Linked DNA regions of Caenorhabditis elegans. The protein of the gene in region 3 interacts with the protein of the main gene of each other region in a pairwise test. Each region holds a gene or a part of one and is shown on either strand. Other genes may lie near its edges. The genes, in order: ZC239.15, T05F1.4, fbxa-171 and C34G6.3.

Evidence for each region.
Region 1: the proteins of fbxa-171 (region 3) and ZC239.15 interact in a two-hybrid assay, tested with the Caenorhabditis elegans proteins (one large-scale study listed by BioGRID).
Region 2: the proteins of fbxa-171 (region 3) and T05F1.4 interact in a two-hybrid assay, tested with the Caenorhabditis elegans proteins (one large-scale study listed by BioGRID).
Region 4: the proteins of fbxa-171 (region 3) and C34G6.3 interact in a two-hybrid assay, tested with the Caenorhabditis elegans proteins (one large-scale study listed by BioGRID).

What each region holds. Positions count from the first base shown.
Region 1 is NC_003280.10:3,222,574-3,226,919, reverse strand, and holds ZC239.15 (BTB domain-containing protein), read left to right. Parts: upstream 1-2,188; 5' UTR 2,189-2,276; coding exon 2,277-2,387; intron 2,388-2,432; coding exon 2,433-2,702; intron 2,703-3,015; coding exon 3,016-3,127; intron 3,128-3,169; coding exon 3,170-3,375; 3' UTR 3,376-3,587; downstream 3,588-4,346. Other genes in the region: ZC239.17 (Potassium channel tetramerization-type BTB domain-containing protein), read left to right, coding at 1,040-1,438; ZC239.16 (BTB domain-containing protein), read left to right, coding at 1,635-1,745, 1,794-2,150; ZC239.13 (BTB domain-containing protein), read left to right, coding at 4,106-4,216, 4,267-4,346.
Region 2 is NC_003279.8:9,629,418-9,633,496, reverse strand, and holds T05F1.4 (NAM-associated domain-containing protein), read right to left. Parts: upstream 2,110-4,079; 5' UTR 2,102-2,109; coding exon 1,962-2,101; intron 1,917-1,961; coding exon 1,771-1,916; intron 1,723-1,770; coding exon 1,534-1,722; intron 1,489-1,533; coding exon 1,382-1,488; intron 1,332-1,381; coding exon 1,302-1,331; 3' UTR 1,096-1,301; downstream 1-1,095. Other genes in the region: T05F1.5 (BTB domain-containing protein), read left to right, coding at 43-154, 197-259; Protein hsr-9, read right to left, coding at 3,139-3,222, 3,269-3,554, 3,648-3,862, 3,909-4,079.
Region 3 is NC_003283.11:17,562,077-17,567,896, forward strand, and holds fbxa-171 (F-box domain-containing protein), read right to left. Parts: upstream 3,928-5,820; coding exon 3,611-3,927; intron 3,568-3,610; coding exon 3,487-3,567; intron 3,148-3,486; coding exon 2,523-3,147; intron 1,326-2,522; coding exon 1,134-1,325; downstream 1-1,133.
Region 4 is NC_003279.8:5,894,492-5,898,572, forward strand, and holds C34G6.3 (Non-histone chromosomal protein HMG-14), read left to right. Parts: upstream 1-2,126; 5' UTR 2,127-2,207; intron 2,208-2,366; 5' UTR 2,367-2,396; coding exon 2,397-2,654; intron 2,655-2,740; coding exon 2,741-2,848; 3' UTR 2,849-2,914; downstream 2,915-4,081. Other genes in the region: pgp-2 (ABC-type xenobiotic transporter), read left to right, coding at 1-82, 323-427, 475-678, 725-871, 939-1,145; tyr-4 (ShKT domain-containing protein), read left to right, coding at 3,830-3,967.

The DNA.
Region 1 (4,346 bases), on a different chromosome or scaffold from region 3:
GACTTGAACATCAAAGATCGGAAGAATCAGAACCAGTCTGGAGATCCCACGAGAACATTTCGTATTAATTTTTTAAAGTCAAAACTGCTTATATGAACTCATTTCTAACTCAAACTTGATTTGAGCTTTGTCAAAAATTCCAAAATCTGTTGATTTTAGTAAAAATCGTGAAAAAAAACGGGGGGTCCTATAGAAGTTTCACACTGGATTTTGACGTTTTTTCCAGCGCGACCTCAGTTTTTGAGATAAACTTCTGGAAAAAAATTTATATAGGTTTTTTTCAATTTAAAAACGAACGGCATTAGCAGTTTTTCGAAAAAATTTTCGGAAGTTCCTCAAACCTTCAAATTAGGGGGGGTCCTATAGAACTTTCCCACACTGTATGATTATAAAAACAAAAAAAAATGAAGTTATAACCCCAATTTTAAACTGTAGTGTTTTGAAAATTTTTGGCAATTGGAATCTTCGGAAACTGCTGGTTTCAAAAAATATGGGAAATTTTTCAATTTTTTGTGAAGCTGCCAAAAACTTCAATTGCCGAAAAATTTCGACTGAGGTATTGCATTTTTTATTGGAAATTTTGAAATTTCAGTTGTAACTGCAAAATTACACGTATCTTACATGAAAAATGAGAAAAAATATATTAGAATTCTTGCTGAAAACGAGAAAAAATGTCAAAAATATGTGTCATCCGTTTTTTCTTATAAAAATTCCTTCAGAAATTTTGCACAATTTGCAAAAGCGGAAATCGGAAAGTTTTCTATACATGTCTTGAAAAAAACTCCACCGCCACTATTTCCTAAAATTTGTTAAAAATATAAAAATGGCTGTTAATTGCAAATCGATAGACTTACTGATAACAAAACTTCATCTCACTTTCTTCATTTCTCTTCCCCACAATTTTTTTAAAAACTCTCCAAAAAATGTGCGAAATTATTAAACTAGACGTTGGTGGAACTATATTCAAAACTTCAAAAGATACATTAACGAAACTCGATAGCTTTTTTAAAACTATGTTTGAAAGTGATATTGCGGTATAATGTTGCTGACTATATTTCTCCAAAAACCTGAACATTTTCAGCCGAAACTCGAAAAATCCGGATGCATTTTTATTGATCGTTCCCCGAAACACTTCGAGTTAATTCTGAACTTAATGAGAGATGGGAATCTGTGGTTGCCCGAAACTGAGAAGGAATTGAGAGAGTTGTGTGCGGAAGCAAATTACTATCAGATGTTTGGACTGTACAATAAGTGCGGTGTGAAACTTAGCACTATAATAAACTTCCGAATGATTCAAAATCAAAAACCAATAACTAAAAATAATAGTTATACTCGTTTTTTTGTTTTTTCATTAATTTTTTTGGTATTTGTGTATTACATCCCTGCACTAAAAAGCTATTTTATTGTTGAAAAATCTAGTAAATGCTACCTATTTTAGTGGCTATTAAACGCAATTTTCATTGTATTATGCTATCATAGAAATGTGAACAGACCCGAACGTAAACCTATTATAGTATGGAAAAAAATCAATTGAAAACACTGATAACTTCAAATCGATCGACTCACTGATAACAAACCTTCATTTCACTTTCCTCTTTTTCTCCTCTACAATTTTTTTCAAAAACTCTCCAAAAATGAGTGAAATTATTAAACTAGACGTTGGCGGAACTATATTCAAAACTTCAAAAGATACATTAACAAAGTTCCATAGCTTTTTCAAAACTATGTTGGAATGCAAAACTGGGGTATGAAAATCGTTGTTTTTTTCCAAAAAAAAACGTGAAAATTTCCAGCCGAAAATTGAAAAAACCGGATGCATTTTCATAGATCGGTCCCCGAAACACTTTGAATTGATTCTGAATTTAATGAGAGATGGTGATCTGCCACTGCCAGAAGATGAAAGAGAGCTGAGAGAATTGATGGCAGAAGCTCAATTCTACTGGTTGGATGGTCTAGTCTTAATGTGCTGTGATAAACTTAATTCTACAAAAAAGGTCCAAATTGATCAAAGAGCAAACACTAAAAAATATGATTTATCATGGTTTTTTGTTTTTTCAATAATTTTTTTGGTTTTAGTGTTTGTGTATTACATGCCTGCACTAAAAGGCTATTTTATTGTTGAAAAAAGAAATAAATGTTATCTTTTTTAGTTGTTGGAAATTTTAATTTTTGTTAAAAAAAATCATTTTGAAATATGTACTGATCGATAATCTTATAACTGATAACAAAATTTTACTCCATCTTTCTCTTTTTCTCCCCTAGAAAACTCTTCGAAAATGAGTGAAACTGTGAAATTGGACGTTGGTGGAACTATATTCAAAACTTCAAGATCTACATTAACAAAGTTCAATGGATTTTTCAAAACTATGTTGGAGAGTGACATTGGGGTCCGATTTTTCCAAAAATTTCCCGATAAATTTTCAAATTTTCAGCTAAAAATTGACGAATCTGGGAGTATTTTTATTGATCGGTCTCCGAAAAATTTCGACTTGATACTGAACTTTATGCGAGACGGCGACGTGGTTCTACCCAATTGTGAATTGAAACTGAAGGAGCTGCTAGTAGAAGCTCAATTCTATTTGCTCGACGGACTCATTGAGTTGTGCAATTCAAAGATTGAGCTTGTTGAAGCTCCAAAGATAAAACTTCGATTTATTGAAAGCGATGAACAATTTCTTCAAATTCTTGCTGTTCAACAGAAGGTGAGTTTCGATAAAATAATGTAGTTTTTCAAATTCATAGGAATATCTCAGTCGGTAGTGGTAGCTGCTAGAAAGCTAGAGGTTGCGGTTTCAAGTTTAGACTCATCCCCTAGGTTCACCCAGTCTGTATTGGAGAGTGGAGCAATCCATGACTGTATTATCGGCCACAGTCCCTGGCTAGGACGTGGCTTAAACTATAGGCCAGTGCAAGCTGTAGTCCTAATAGTAAGGCCACACTGTATGGCGTTTGTCAATCATAAAATAATTAACCAGTTTCTTCAAAAAATTTCAGCTCTACATATAATTTTTACAGCCAATGCTCATAATTGAATTTTGCATGGTTGGGAATGATATGTCGATTCCCTATAACTTTAATCTTTACGAGTTCATGGAAAAGTATTCACATCAGTTCGATATTTATTTTCGTAAGTTTTTTGTACATTATCCTCATAAAATAGTCAATTCAGAGCGATTGAGTGAAGACGAACCTTCTCGCAAATGGAAAGCAAGGATAAAATGGAAACCTACTGAGAATGGATATTACAGTCAATTTCCACACAATCTTCGAATTAATCGAGGTGGACGGATAATACGGGATGCAACATTTTTGGAACGATTGGAAAAAATGATCGGGGAGTTTGATGAGTATTTGAAGAAGCAGAGGAATAGATAATTAACTTATTTTATGGATTTTTCGACAATATTTCTAATTTAGAAGCTTAAAAAATTATAATTTAGTAAGCTTGTTTTTTTATCTTTAAACACAAAACACATGGATAAGTTCAAAGTCTGATTGATAACAAACATTCTTATTTTTATTTTTTGAGTTTGGTTGCATCTGTGCCTCAAACCGTAACTATTTTAAAATATGAACAAGGTTGTTAAACTAGACATCGGCGGAACTATTTTTAAAACTTCAAGACCGACATTAATAAAATGTGATGGATTATTCAAAACTATGTTTGAATGTGAAAGGGTCTGATTACCGTAATCGATTAAGAGCGATTGAGTGAAGACGAACCTTCTCGAAAATGGAAAGCTAGGATAAAGTGGAAATCTACCGAGAATGGATATTATAGTCAATTTCCGCACAATCTTCGAATTAATCGAGGCGGACGGATAATTCGGGATGCAACTTTTTTGGAAAAATTAGAAAAAATGATTGGGGAGTTTGGTCAATATTTGTATTTGGAGAAGCAGAGAAAGAGATAATTAACTCATTTTGTGGATTTTTTGACAATATTTTCAATTCAGAAGTTTTTTTTTATTTCTTAACATTTTTGATTTTTTTGTAAAAAAAAAAACAAAATTTCGCAACACTGATAATTCAAAATCGATCGGCTCACTGATAACACAATTTCACTCCGTTTTTCTCTCTTTTTCCTCTCAAAAACTTTTCAAAAATGAGTGAAACTGTTAAACTAGACGTTGGCGGAACTATTTTCAAAACTTCAAAAGATACATTAATGAAACTCGATAGCATTTTTAAAACTATGCTGGAATCTGGAACAGGGGTTTCATGATATTGATTTCTTACCTGATTTGAAAACTTGAAAATTTTCAGCTGGAACTTGACGAATCCGGATGCATTTTTATCGATCGCTCCCCGAAACATTTTAACAGGATTTTAAATTTCATGAGAGA
Region 2 (4,079 bases), on a different chromosome or scaffold from region 3:
TAATATTAGTATTTCAGAGCATTCAAAAACTGTCAATTTCAGCTACAACCTTCACAGCGTCGTGCCGCCACTCCCGCCGATGCAGCTCCTCGAGAATGATCAGAATATTTTGGAAGTTATTGATAATCAGACAACTATGCAACACTTGGAAAACGTAAGTTACGTTAGTCAGAAAGAAATAATCATCATTTTTCAGTACTTGTCTAAAAAAGCGATGGAACATCTTGCTCGTCTCAAGACTGAATTGGAGCACTTGTGAACTTCTATTCTACGTGTATTATGTGTTTTAAGAGCAAATAAATAGTTTATCACAAGTTATTGAAGAAATTGTATTAATACGAATAATATGAATTGAAATCTTCATAAATTAAATTTACTAAAAATCAATCTTTGGATGCACTCATTTACAGATCGGAAGTCAGGACTTTCACCAAATGCCTATTTCCGCTTAAACATCCGTTGTTTCTTATTCATCGTTGTTGGATTCCTTTTTTCAATAATTTCAAGAGCAGTGTAATTAGTTTCCGGTGGCTAATAAAACGAGATTTCGAAGTTTTCATAGAAATATAACAATAACCCAGACGCGAACGTTTGTGTTTTTGCGCAATAAATACGGTACCCGGTCTCGACACGACATTTTTCTGTTATACAAACGGTTATGCACCTTTAAAGATTTAATTAAAGAGTACTGTAATTGCAAACTTTCGTGCTGTACTGTAGTTTTGCTCACGGTTTGTTAGAATGTATGAGTTCAAACTTGTTTTTTTTAAAGAAATAGACGGTTTCCGTACTTACATACCAACGAAGTTTTGAAATTACAGTACTCTTCAAAGGCGCACACCCGTTTTATCATACAAAAAAAAATCGTGTCGATACCGGGTACTGTATTTCTGGCGCTGAAATCGCAAAACTTCGTGTTTGGGTAAAACCATTTAGATGTTTCAAAAATAGTTTCATATGATCGCTCAAAATACAATACCCCAATGTAGACTCCGCCCATATCCAGACGAGAAATCGTGAAACTAAAGAATTGCAGAAGGAAATTTCAAAAACACGAATGAATCTTTGATGGGATTACAATGAACAAGAAGAAAAAACAATAAATTTCATTTATTGTGTTGAAAATCATGAAAATCCATATTGATTCTGAGAAAAAATAAAAATATTATAAAGATATAAAATAAAACTATCTGATAGTTTGAATACATAATGAGAAAATATCTCTAAAGCGACAATGTGACATGATTTGGTTGTATTATTAGGATTCGGCAGCTGGAGGGATGGATATTGGCTATCAGAAGTTACCAGTTCGGCTTGAGAAGTTCTTGTGGCTGAAAATTTAATTATTAGTTAATTTTCTATTTTTTTTTTGTCTTCTTACGCATGTTGTTTCCGTGTACTCTTTATATGCTTCTAGAAGAGCCTCGTGGTCCATTTTTGCCCTGCGTAACTGAAACTCGGCCCGTCGGATAGCTTCTTCGGCGTCAGCTGTAATTGGTAAAGCATTTTCAGTGCAAAATTCGTTGCTCATACCGATTCTTAATTTCCACGTTCTAGCTGCTTCTTTGTCTGTTGGTTTCAAAATAGTTCGTAAATCATTACGGCTTCCTCTTGTTGGCTCTTCTTCTTTCTCATGGTATCCATTCCGATCACTATCCCTTCCATCTCGTCTGAAAGATGGAGGGGAAAACCGGTTACGGCCTTGGTCTCGATCATTCGATGCTGAATATAGAACATTTAAGATTAATAATAATCGAATCAATAACTAACATAAAGCAGGACGTGCATCAAACGGATTATTACGGTATGTTTGAACTTGATTATGATTGGATGGACTTGGAGTACGACTATTCGGCCGATTTTGTTGGCGATAGTTGTTGAAACGATGTTCATGACGATCCTCGCTGTGATTTGATCTAAAATCCAGAAATTGATGGATAAAATTAATTTTATTAGTTTACCTTCTGTCTGGACTCAAGTGTCGATCTGATTGATTATCTCTAATATCATCACGGAATCCACCATTTCCACCACCTCGTCTTCCTCTTCCGCGTCTTTTTGAATAACCACCTCCGCGTGGAATGATGCCCCCGCCGGACATTTTTCTTGCTGAAAACAATTTTAGAATTTTTAAAAGCATGTTATTTAAACAAGAGGAAAAATAGTTGTTTTATACAAAGAATCGAATAAAACTGTTTATTTTATATTTTTTCGCTCAGAAAGCGGAATTTGTGGCTGTCGTTATTTCCGAACAATGTATTAAATGTTTTTTTTTTAAATTTTATTGATGGGCCTTTATTGATGGGAAGTAGAAATCAAAAGTTCGAATATTTCAAGCGATATTTTTTTTTATAATTCATGATGTTGAGTACACTCAAAATAAGAAAACTGCGTGGCGTGTACTGCAGAAAACCTCATATTTAGGCCCCGCCTTTTCTCCGTGAGTGGACAAGAAAAAGGCGGGGCCTAAATATGAGGTTTTCTGCAGTACACGCCACGCAGTTTTATTATTTTGAGTGTAGTTTTCCCGTTTCTCAATTATTAATTTAAAGAGCTCAATTGGGAATGCATTAAATTTCAGAGAAAACGAACTGTTTGAAATATTGTTAATTGTTTGAAACTAATGCTGCCAAATCAAGAAAATTGACAACGTTATTGGTACAGTTCATTTTTTCATTTCAGAATAAGCAACAAAAGGTGTTCATATGAATGTACTGTAGGTTAGTAAAACACTATGTTAGGTTACTCTTTGATGCAAAAAGGAATAGTTAAAAAGTTCTCAGAAGCTTTCGAATAAATTATAATAAATACGTTGCAGAAGTAACTGGGAAAGGAATGATGATCGTGATTTAAAAAAGATGGAAGAGCTTCAAAACAGGGGCTTAGAAAATGCAGTTCTATAATAATAAATTGGGAAGAGCTCAAAAATTCACAAAAAATGGTTAATGAATACGCATACAATGTCACCGCTTGTTGACCAGCACACTGAGCGGGTAAATTTTCGAGTAAGAGATCGACGATATTTCAGCGGATGGAGCACGGTAGGGAAAGTAGAATAGTTATTTAAAAAGTTGATATAAAAACGTAGTGTACAAAATGAGAAGGGAAATGGGGAAAGGGGGTGAGATGAGATGATATTCAATGACGCGTGCGGTGATGCAGACGGTATGGATCGAATTTTGGATGAGCATTTGGCTCAGGAGCTTTGCCAAGAATTATTGTCTGAAAAATGTATAACAATTAAACGACGAGGAAAACGGAATCTCACTTGGATAACCCATTCGGAAGTGACTCTACTTGCTCCAATAGTATCTGCATACTCCATGACTTCGTCACGGAAAGTTCCATCAACTAAAACAACGTCAAATTTGAGACCTGTTTCGTCAAGAGTTTCCCAGTCTCCGTCGACTACATCAGCACCGAGAAGCTCAAGAATAGGTTTCCAAATCTCGATGAAAGTTCCTCCGGGTCCAGTTTGTGTTACTTCACGAGCTGAGTGAGTTGAGTGTACATAAATTGTTGTTCCTTTCAAAAGCTCTGATGGATTTTTGGGCCTTAAATGTTTTCGATGATCAGAATTTTCAGAATCGTTATAAAAATCAAAAATCTAACGGAATTGAAATCATTCATCATGAAAGTTCACTTACGCTGGCATATCCTGAGACTCGTCAAAAATTGAAGCACCTGCAGGAAGAACATAGTCCGTATAGTCGACACATTTCCCCTGTTCACCACATGCTTGTAACCATGTATTGTTAACACAAGGAACACCACGAGCTAAAGCTGCCAAGTACTTGTGAGTACGATAGTACGTATCAGAAATCAGCAATGGTTCGTAGTTGGAGTAACGCTCTTGGAAGCTCTTAAAATAAAATGATTAGAATGTTATTTGTAAGACGTTATCTTACATTAAGCTGCTCCGTGACGATCCCACCATTCTGAGTAATGAAGTTCATCAGATTCTTCTTTTTGAACATTGAAGGAACACTCGCAGAATTTGAACGATTGGCCGAAGTTAGCATGAAGACCTTTCCGGTGAAAATGTTCTTTCCAATAGCTTCCTCGTTCATTGGCAAAAG
Region 3 (5,820 bases):
CAATAAACATCGTGGAGAGTTTTTTTTCAATTCAATTTCTCTTCAAAATTTTTCAGTTTTTTATTGTCTCAATTTCAATTTTTGCTCGTGGTTTAAGCAATGCATGTTTTGCAGTATGTCCACAATAACAAGTTAATTCTTTTAGATAGTTGAAGTTGTAAAAAATGGATGAGTCCTCTGGGAAAAATACCACGAAAAACTGTGAAAAAACACCTGAATCACCGTGAGTTGTTCTGCAATTTTCAAGCAAAATTAGTTAGTTTTTTTTAATGTTTCAGAGTCCACACGCTTTGTTCGTCTCAAAGTGAGAAAAATCAATATCTTGGAAGTCACAAAAAACATGATTCATTGAATGATATTTTGGTTTGAGAGAAAAACATTAAAGCTGAACAAAAAAAAATTCAGGGAATGTCGTGTTCACCGGAAAGGATGCCCGTGAATCGTACACCAATAATTCCAGAGTGAGAAGAAGTTTCTTCATTAAAACATAAATAGCCACAATTTCCGTTTCAATTAAAACAATTATTATTTCTGACTGCTTATCTTCTGAAAATTAATAAGTTTAAAACACAAATATTTCAAGACCAATATTCCAAGTGGCTGTAACTATACCAAACAGTCAAATTGCAATCCGCGCGTGTATCCTTTATGAGCATCTTCACGGGAAGATGCTTACAGTGGCATATAGAAACTTCTGCGACAAAGTTGGGAATGGTGTCATTGAATTTGAGTCTTTTGAGTTTTGGTTTAATCAATTCCAAACTGGGAATCATGATTTGAGATATGATATTGAGTAATAAAAAAAACAATGATATTTGGACTATGGTTAAACTTTAGAAATTCAGGAATGCGCTTGAACCTCGTTCTTTGGCAGAAATCACTTCTACAGCCATGGCTTCTGGTGTGCTTTAGTAGAGCTGTAAGTCTTGTGAAGGTTGTAGGGAGTAATTGGGATATTCAGATCCGAAAGCAAATCAAGGAAATGTTTGGATGGAGCTCAGAGCAGCATATTGTCCAAATTCGATCTATTACAAGCTGAACAGTATTGTTTATGTACTGTTGAAAAATATATGTATGATTGCTACAACATAAAAGAGTTAAAAGTTATTTTATAAAAATCCGAATCGATAAAATTATATTATCCGTTTAACTTGAAATGAATTAGGAGTAATTTTCAAAAGGAATTTTTTGTTGTGTCGTGTGTAATTTATTATCGGCCATTGATTGCTTTGATATCCTGGTACGAATACATTTGCAATTTCAATTGGATCGAAGTCGTCGGATTCGAAGTTTGCATATTTGAAAGTGTCGGATTTCATCAAAATCTGAAACTATGTTAATTGTTTATACTTGAAGCGTAAAGTCTGCAGCAAATGCCTAAGCCTAAGCCTAAACTCCTAAGCTCAAGAGTAGTATAAGTCCCACACGACACCCCCATCCCACACCAGACCCCCCTATTGACCTCTCCCAAAATGGGGTGTCCATCTATGGATGTCCATTTATGGATGGCCATCGTTTTTTATTGATCTGTTTTTTTCGTTTATCATGGAACTGTTTTTTATTAGGAAAAAATGTTGTACTGTATGGGAGAAAATCTGAAATTAAAAAATATTTGAAATCGAGTATGTGGAATAAAATGTTTTCATTTACACTTTTAATATGTTTCATTGTGCACCCCTCCTCTCTATTACTCCGCCCCACTGCACAATCGAAAATCTCATAGTCAGTCTAAAGAAATTTAGAACATCATTATCCAAGTTGACACTTTCACGACAACAAGCCCCTACACTGAAAGTCATAACTCCTGGCCCTTCATATGGAGCTTGCAAGAAAACTTAGGTCATCCGAAAGCTGTGTGCACTATTAAAGAAATTTCTTTAGAATGAGTTTTTTGATTGTGCAGTGGGGCGGAGTAATAGAGAGGAGGCGTGCACAATGAAACATATCAAAAATGTAAATGAAAACATTTTATTCCACATACTCGATTTCAAATATTTTTTTAATTTCAGATTTTCTCCCATACAGTACAACATTTTTTTCTAATAAAAAACAGTTCCATAAAAAACGAAAAAAAAAACAGATCAATACAACAGAACAATAAAAAACGATGGCCATCCATAAATGGACATCCATAGATGGACACCCCATTTTGGGAGAGGTCAATAGGGGGGTCTGGTGTGGGATGGGGGTGTCGTGTGGGACTTATACTACTCTCAAGCGTGAGCCTAAGTCAAAAACTTCAGACTTAAGCTTCTTGGTGACCTATACGTCTCTCTGTGAAAATTCGCGTTGATCGGCCAACTGGAACCCTCTCAAAAATTTTAAAAAAAAACGGGAAATTCTTGAGCCTAAATACCGTCAGTGGCGAGCGTTAGATTGGCAAGCGTCAGCTCGCCAAGCCTAAGCCTGAGCCTAAACCTAAGCCTGAGTTTAGAATAAGATTATGCTTAGAACTGACCCTAAGACTAAACCTAAACCTAAGTCTAAGCCTAATCCTAACCCCTGAACCATTCAAAACTTACATCTCGAATTTTAATCGCATCATCTTTTGCGAAAAGATCCACAGTAACGTCAAAATAAGCTAGATGGAAGAACTTTTCAATGTTCATGGAGCAAGTGTCACTGTCAAAAATTAAAGCTTTTGCATTTTTCAGCTGAACTGTATCCATTAATTTTGTGCTATGGCCGTCTGTAGAAGAGGCAAAAAAGTGAACAACTTCGAGCGTTTTAGGCTCGAAGTACGGCAGGATTGCGTCGATTTCTTCGTTTTTCAATTCACAAACTAGTTTTCGGACTCGTAATTTGTTCATCGATCTCAAGACGTTCAATACATCGTTGAAAATGTTTTCCCGAATTTGCTCAGACATTTGTGCTTCAAAAAGTACGGAAAATGTTCGTGCGTCTTTAGTCACTACTGTATTGAAATCTTGAAGCGCTATTTTCCGATAATCTGTTCCTTTGATTTGAATTTTTCTGTTCTCGTAGATAATTGTGCATCCGTTTGGTACTGGGCAGTAGTTGACGGTTCTTTCGTTCAAAAATAGTCTTGCTTCATCTTTTTCGAAACATATTCCCATGGCGTTAAAATGAAATTCTTGTTGGTCAATTTTGTCACGGAGAATGCGCGAAACTTTTCTGGCCACGAATCTTGAAAAATTTTGGATTGAAACCATATTGACTTTTAGATGAAATTTATGCCATTTGAGAAATCGTTAAAAACATTTTTGGTCAAACATTTGTTTTAATTGTTTTTTGAAAACTTCCCAAAATTCATTTTTTCGGAGACATTTCAAGGTGTTTCTATAGTTGTAAAACTTCATAAAAAGACGATGAAAAAAAATACTTTGATGGAAAAACTCATCTGAATAATTCATATCTACTTTATTGCTACAATTTTTGCATAAGGACCTTTTTTGAATTACATGGGGTGTGTATAGAAGTCTATGACCACACGGTAAATATCATACTTTCTTTATAAAATCTCACCTATCGCAAAGTTCCATTTTGGCACAAATTTCATTCCAAACTTTTTCCGGCATATTCTGCAGGGAAGGTTCTTGTGGCTCACTGAAAAACATTAAAATTTTCTGTAAAGAAGCTTAGCACTTACCCATTAAAATATTCGACGAACTTCCTGCACCACTCTTTTTCGGAAATTTTGTGTGGAACGTCTGATGGTGGATTGATCGAGCAACGCAGATCATTGGAATTTCGTACTTCAATCTGCCTATTATCGTCCTGCAAGTCATGATTACCATTATAAAATCTATGAAACCAATATTCAAATTCTTTGTAGGCAATCTTCTCCTTCAAGGTGTTGCAAATTGTTTCATAGGCTTCATTCACAGTCTTTTTCTGGAGCACTTCGTAGAAAATACAAGATCGAATGAAGGTTTTGGAGTAAGGTTTTTGAGCGGTGGAAGTCATTTTGATATGATGCGCGCGGCAAAAAAATTACATCAAAATTTTAGACTTAGCAATATATCTTCACCGAATTCTTCAGTATTGACATTGGAGTTAGAGGGCACTTGCACTGCTGGAGAGTTAGTCAGAGAAAGGAGAACAGTCGAGCATGTTGTTTCGCAATAAAACATTTTTTTTTGTTGGGTTTATATGTCCTTCAGCAATTGCATTCTTGAACTGGCCTAAATAAGATGTCCTTGCAGATCCGGAAACAAACTGAGGGGAATGGAACTCTGTGCAACTACTTGCTCCACCTTCATATATTTCTAGCTGATGAACTGTAAAATAAATTTGTTTGTATTAGTTTTACCAACGTCTCTTTGACACTCGCCCATTCAAATAGTTACAACACCCTGTTCCATCCTCAGGGTTTTTCAGGATTTTCAAATTTTCGGCGATATGGGCCTACCGGCAAGCTTTTTCGAGATTTTTCCAGATATTAATGGTGTACCAATTTCCCAAACATTGAGTGGAAATTCCAAAAAATGGAAGACGATTGTTATAAGAAATGGTAAGAATATGATCTTAGTTACATTTTTGCGCATATTTCATCCCAATGGACGTTCTTGAAAATTTCTCACAATTTTCTGAAACAAACAAAAGATTTCAAACATTTTTGTGATATATTGCTAGCCACATTCGTCTAATTTTCCAAGTCACATTGTTCCAGTTTTGATATTGCTAATTTGGTAGACCTAATTCTGGTTTGATTCCTCAGTCTCTCTAGTCTCTTGGCGTTGTTGTATACGAACTGATATTATCTCCTCTGATCAAAAACCAAGTGTATTTGGCGAAAACACGCAATCCAAATAGGGATATAAATACGAAGAGAAGAAATTACCCCAAAAAGATCAGGCAAATCTACGGCAAATCAGTAAAGACTTTTTGTATTTTTCGTGGTTTTACTTCTCGATTTCAATTCAATTTATTTTTTGAAAGACTATTTTAAAGTGGTTCCGTCTATTTGTTTTTACATATGTAGTTTGGCTTTTGATCTTCTCCTTTCTAAAAATTGTATTCAATATTATGAGTTACTTTCCCTGCATTTTTCATTAAAAAGTATGTATTTGCCGCACATTCTCCATTCGTTCGACTTATCATCATTTTTTCAGAGAACATGAAAAAAGAATTTCTGCAATTCTTCAGTCTCTTTGTCGTACAACTTCGTTTTTATCTCCCGTGTTAAGAAAGAGAATCAAACAGAAAAACGCAAACAATAAAATTGATTTTAAAAAAACCGCTGTGACAACTCGTTTTCTCATAGCGCGTTGAAAAAATGCTTCTCGTTGTAATAGTTTATTCCAATTTAAATTTTTTTGATTTAGCAAGAAACGACTTTCTTAGTTCGTTTTTCAGATTATCCGAAAAACTAAACATTAGTAAAAATGGATGATCAGCTTGAAAAAAATTTAGAAGTAGGAGAATGGAAAAAATGTGAAGAAAAAGCAGAATCTCCGTGAGTTGTTTCGCAATTTTTCAGCAGAGTGAATTAAGTTTTTGTTAATTTCAGAGTTGGGAACCCTTTTCTACTTCATTATGATCACTTAAATCTTTGTGTTTGAATGCAAAAACACTGTTACTAATTAAGAGCGTAGTTTTTTAGGGAGGACCAACTAATTATGTGGGGATGCAAATTACACCAATAATTCCCAGGTGAGCAAAAATTCTTACATTAATACAGAAACAGCTGCAGTTCTACTACAATGGAACAATCAGTTGTTATATATACCGTATATTCTCTATTAGTGTTGTCGATTCAGCCCTTCGAGGTCAATCTCGACAACCTTTTTAACAGTGCTCTGATATAGGTTTCTACGGAATAGCCCACTATTCTTAACCTATATCAGCTCGACCGCA
Region 4 (4,081 bases), on a different chromosome or scaffold from region 3:
TGGAAATATTTCAATCAGAAATGTATTTTTCAATTATCCAACAAGAAAGGATACCAAGGTTTTACAAGGATTCACTCTTGATGTAGGTTTTAATTTGATACCTGACTTCTATATGACAGTAGTGCAATCCTAGGGTAAAAAGCAATAAGCCTTGACTTTTAAAAACTGGATATGGATTTTTTTTGCGTTTTTGTATCGAATGTTTATGCACTTGCCCTCTGACTTTTTTACTGAAATTTTAAAAATAGGAAAAAAAAAAAAGACAATGATCCTACAATTCTTAACCCACCTGTAAAAACAAATATTAATATATTTATTTTAGATCAAAGCCGGTAAAACTGTTGCACTTGTCGGGCACTCAGGATGTGGAAAATCTACAATTATGGGACTGCTGGAGAGATTCTATAATCAAGATAAAGGAATGATTGTGAGTCAATTTTCTTTCTGATTGGTTTTAACTGCAAACAATTTTAGATGATTGATGGTGATAACATCCGTAACCTAAACATCAGTTCACTTCGCGAACAAGTATGTATTGTAAGTCAAGAGCCAACGTTGTTTGATTGCACAATTGGAGAAAATATTTGCTACGGAACAAATCGAAATGTTACATATCAAGAAATTGTTGAAGCTGCCAAAATGGCAAATATTCACAATTTCATTCTAGGATTGCCAGATGTAGGGTGATATTTTCATAAATCAGAACTCATTCTAAAAATTTCAGGGTTATGATACTCATGTCGGAGAGAAAGGAACTCAACTTTCGGGTGGTCAAAAACAAAGAATTGCCATTGCACGGGCACTTGTTCGATCTCCTTCTGTTTTACTTTTGGATGAAGCAACTAGTGCATTAGATACGGAAAGTGAAAAGGTTTGTATGAAAAATATTGAAATAGCAAATTGACTTTGAAGAATATCGTTTTATTCACTGTTTACAGATTGTACAAGAAGCATTGGACGCCGCAAAACAAGGTCGCACGTGTCTTGTCATTGCTCATCGGTTGAGCACAATTCAAAATAGTGACGTCATTGCGATCGTCAGTGAGGGTAAAATTGTGGAAAAGGGAACACATGACGAGTTGATAAGGAAGAGTGAAATATATCAGAAATTCTGTGAAACGCAGAGGATTGTCGAAAGTCAATAATTTAAATATGTATTAGATTCTCAAACACGAGTTTACAAACTAATTTGCATGGAGTTTCATTTTTTTAATGTTCAATTGAAACAGCTTGATATTTAAAATTTAAATATGCTCATCAAGTAAAATTTTTAGAAAATTTTGTAAACCCGTAATAATTTTTTTGTCATCTAGGTACTTTGCTTTTTCCCCAAATAGCCTTTCCCTCCATCTTGTGTATTTTGTGTGAAATTCTTTGAATTGTGATAATTATCTTTGAATTGTGATAATTGTCTTTTTGTTTTCTTTTTTAAATATATTATTTACCATTTTCACTGCATAAATATTTTTATTTGAAAAAAAACTACTCATCATTCAATATGTAGAATCTAAAATAGGATTTCTTTAGACTATTATATTTTTAATTTAACTTTTTTACTGTAGTTTCATTACACCTATTTCAATTTAAGATCAATGAAACATCCAATCTAAATTTGACGAAGATTGATAAAAGAATCTCTAGAAGATCAAAAATTGGAAATGCTGTGAAAAATTGTAAGGCTGAACAAAATACACGCTCTTTGAATTGGAGGGCATTCGAAGGAAAGTGCTACAGTGTTTGAAAATTTATTTTAAAAGCAATAATAGACCATAAAAATCGAAGGTAACATTGTTTTCATCGACGACTTCCAAACAAGTGGCAAAAAGTGAGATTTTTCCAATTTTCAAAAATTCATATAAACTTTAGAATTTTTTTTTGAATGTTATCACTATTATTTTTTATTAAGTTACAGGAGTTTGATATGAAGTCACGACGTTTTGCTAATAGTAAGAAGGCAAGTGATGAGAAAAGTGAGAAGTGCCTTTCACGACTCAACCGTATGAAATGTATTAATCGGCCCCATAGAAAATATATTTCTCTAAAAATACAATAACATTTTTAATTTAAAAATAACGTGTAACATGTGTTCTACGTGTTCTACAAAAAATATCTGATAGTCATCATCCAGAAAAAAAAATTTCCTTCATCTCAATCCACATCACAATCATTAATTGTTATTTCTGATCAGCTCTCTTCTGGTTGAAAAAGTGAGTTTACTCTTTAGAAACGTGCGATTTCAGACAGCTTGAAATTGGCTTGATGCTCTGCTTAATGTTTTGTTTCAACAAAACAATTGATTTCTTTCGGCAAATCGGAAGTCACATATTTTTGCTGCTTAACAACTGATATCAACGGACCATTTTCAGACTTTCGATTCATCGAAGTAAAACAAAGAAATGACGACTGGAAAGAGTAAAAACACGAAGAAAGACTGTGCTGACAAGAAGAAAACTTCGAAAACGAAGAAGAAGACTTCAAATTTGTCGGTTTCAAGATCCCAAACTTCTGTGGATATGAATGAGAAGGACAAGGCAAAGGAGGCAAAGGAGTTGAAAGAGAAGAAGGCAAAAGAAGAAGCCGAGAAGAAGGTTGTTGCCACACCGAAGAAAGATGCCTCGAAGGATCATGCAAAGAAGGAGGATGATCCTAATAAGGTAACAGTTACGATTTTGAAGTTGATTAGGAAAACACACTGCTAAAAATTTCTTTTGGAAAAAGTTGAGAATATGAACAATTTCAGCAAAACGAGCCAAGTGGAATGGATGTTCTTGTGAAGGAGGACGGCAAGAAGACAAAGATGGACGATGGATACGAGGATTTTGGTCCAGGAGCTGGTGCTGCTCAATGAGCAACTGTCCGAGAAACTGAATCGAAAGGGAACAATTCAATATTGTATTGTAATAAAAGTTTTTTTAAAGTTCGGTGTTTGTGGTTGCAAGTATCTGATTTTGAAGCAAGACATTACACGGGGCCACCCGCCAGGGCTGTTCAGCAACCGGGAATTGTAAGAACAAATGTTGCATTAAAAATCTGCTGGAAGGGCACGAGGAAGAGTAGTGAAAAATACTTGTGAAATATTGTTCGCCACTTGCAAAATGCATCCAAAATATTCGCTAAGTATTTTACAAACGGCATGCGCAGTCTCATTTGGTTTTCAGTTTTTTCCCAAGTGTTTCAGAAAGAGAACACCAGGTCAGTTCCTCGTCCAATTCTTTGTCATTCGGAAATTAATGACATCATCAACTTCTTATCACTATTATCAAAAGAAGAAAAAGAGATCAGCGAATTTCACAGAAAACAACGAAAAATAAAAAAGAAGAGATGAAGGTAAAAGACAAAAAACTGTTACAAAAAAATGAAAAAGGGACGGAGAATCGCCTCGTCTTCATTTTAACTTCATCAGTTTGCCCTGAATCGAACCAGTAATTTTCAAATGTTTTTTGGGTTTAGTTGTCAATTAAATTGACAAAAAATTGACTAGTTTTCTTCTTTCTGATATTATTTCGATGTTTCTCTACTTCACTAACCACCAAAAATGTTCCAATGGAATCTAGAAAATACCATCAAAATTAAAAGTTGAACAAACTTTTCAATAATTTTTTAAAAGTCTTTTCAGAACTGTTGAAATTTGAGCAATTCATTTTATTTTTATTTTTTCCCGAAAATCCTAATGATATTGTTTTTGATTTTTGATTTTATATTTTAGTTTGGGTTTGGTATATATTTGAAAATATAAAATCATACAAAAATTCCTCGTCTTCTACTTTAAATTTATGTAAGAAAAAGGTTCTCCATTTTTCTTGATTTTCAGGTTTCTACGCCTTGAACCATGAGGTTTTTGATACCCATAATCTTTACAACATTACCATTATGTTTACAAGCACAAGAAGATCCATGTGCAAGTGCTCCATCAGAAGCAGCAAAAATTATGTGCAAGCAGATTCACAGATGGGATGATGGAGCAAGGGTTAGTGTTATATTTTTGAAGTGTTTCTATTTGTTTTATTACTTTAATCAGTAAAAATGTGACCATTTGGTTGCATATTTTTATCATCCAGCTAACTCAAAGCACTGTCTTTTT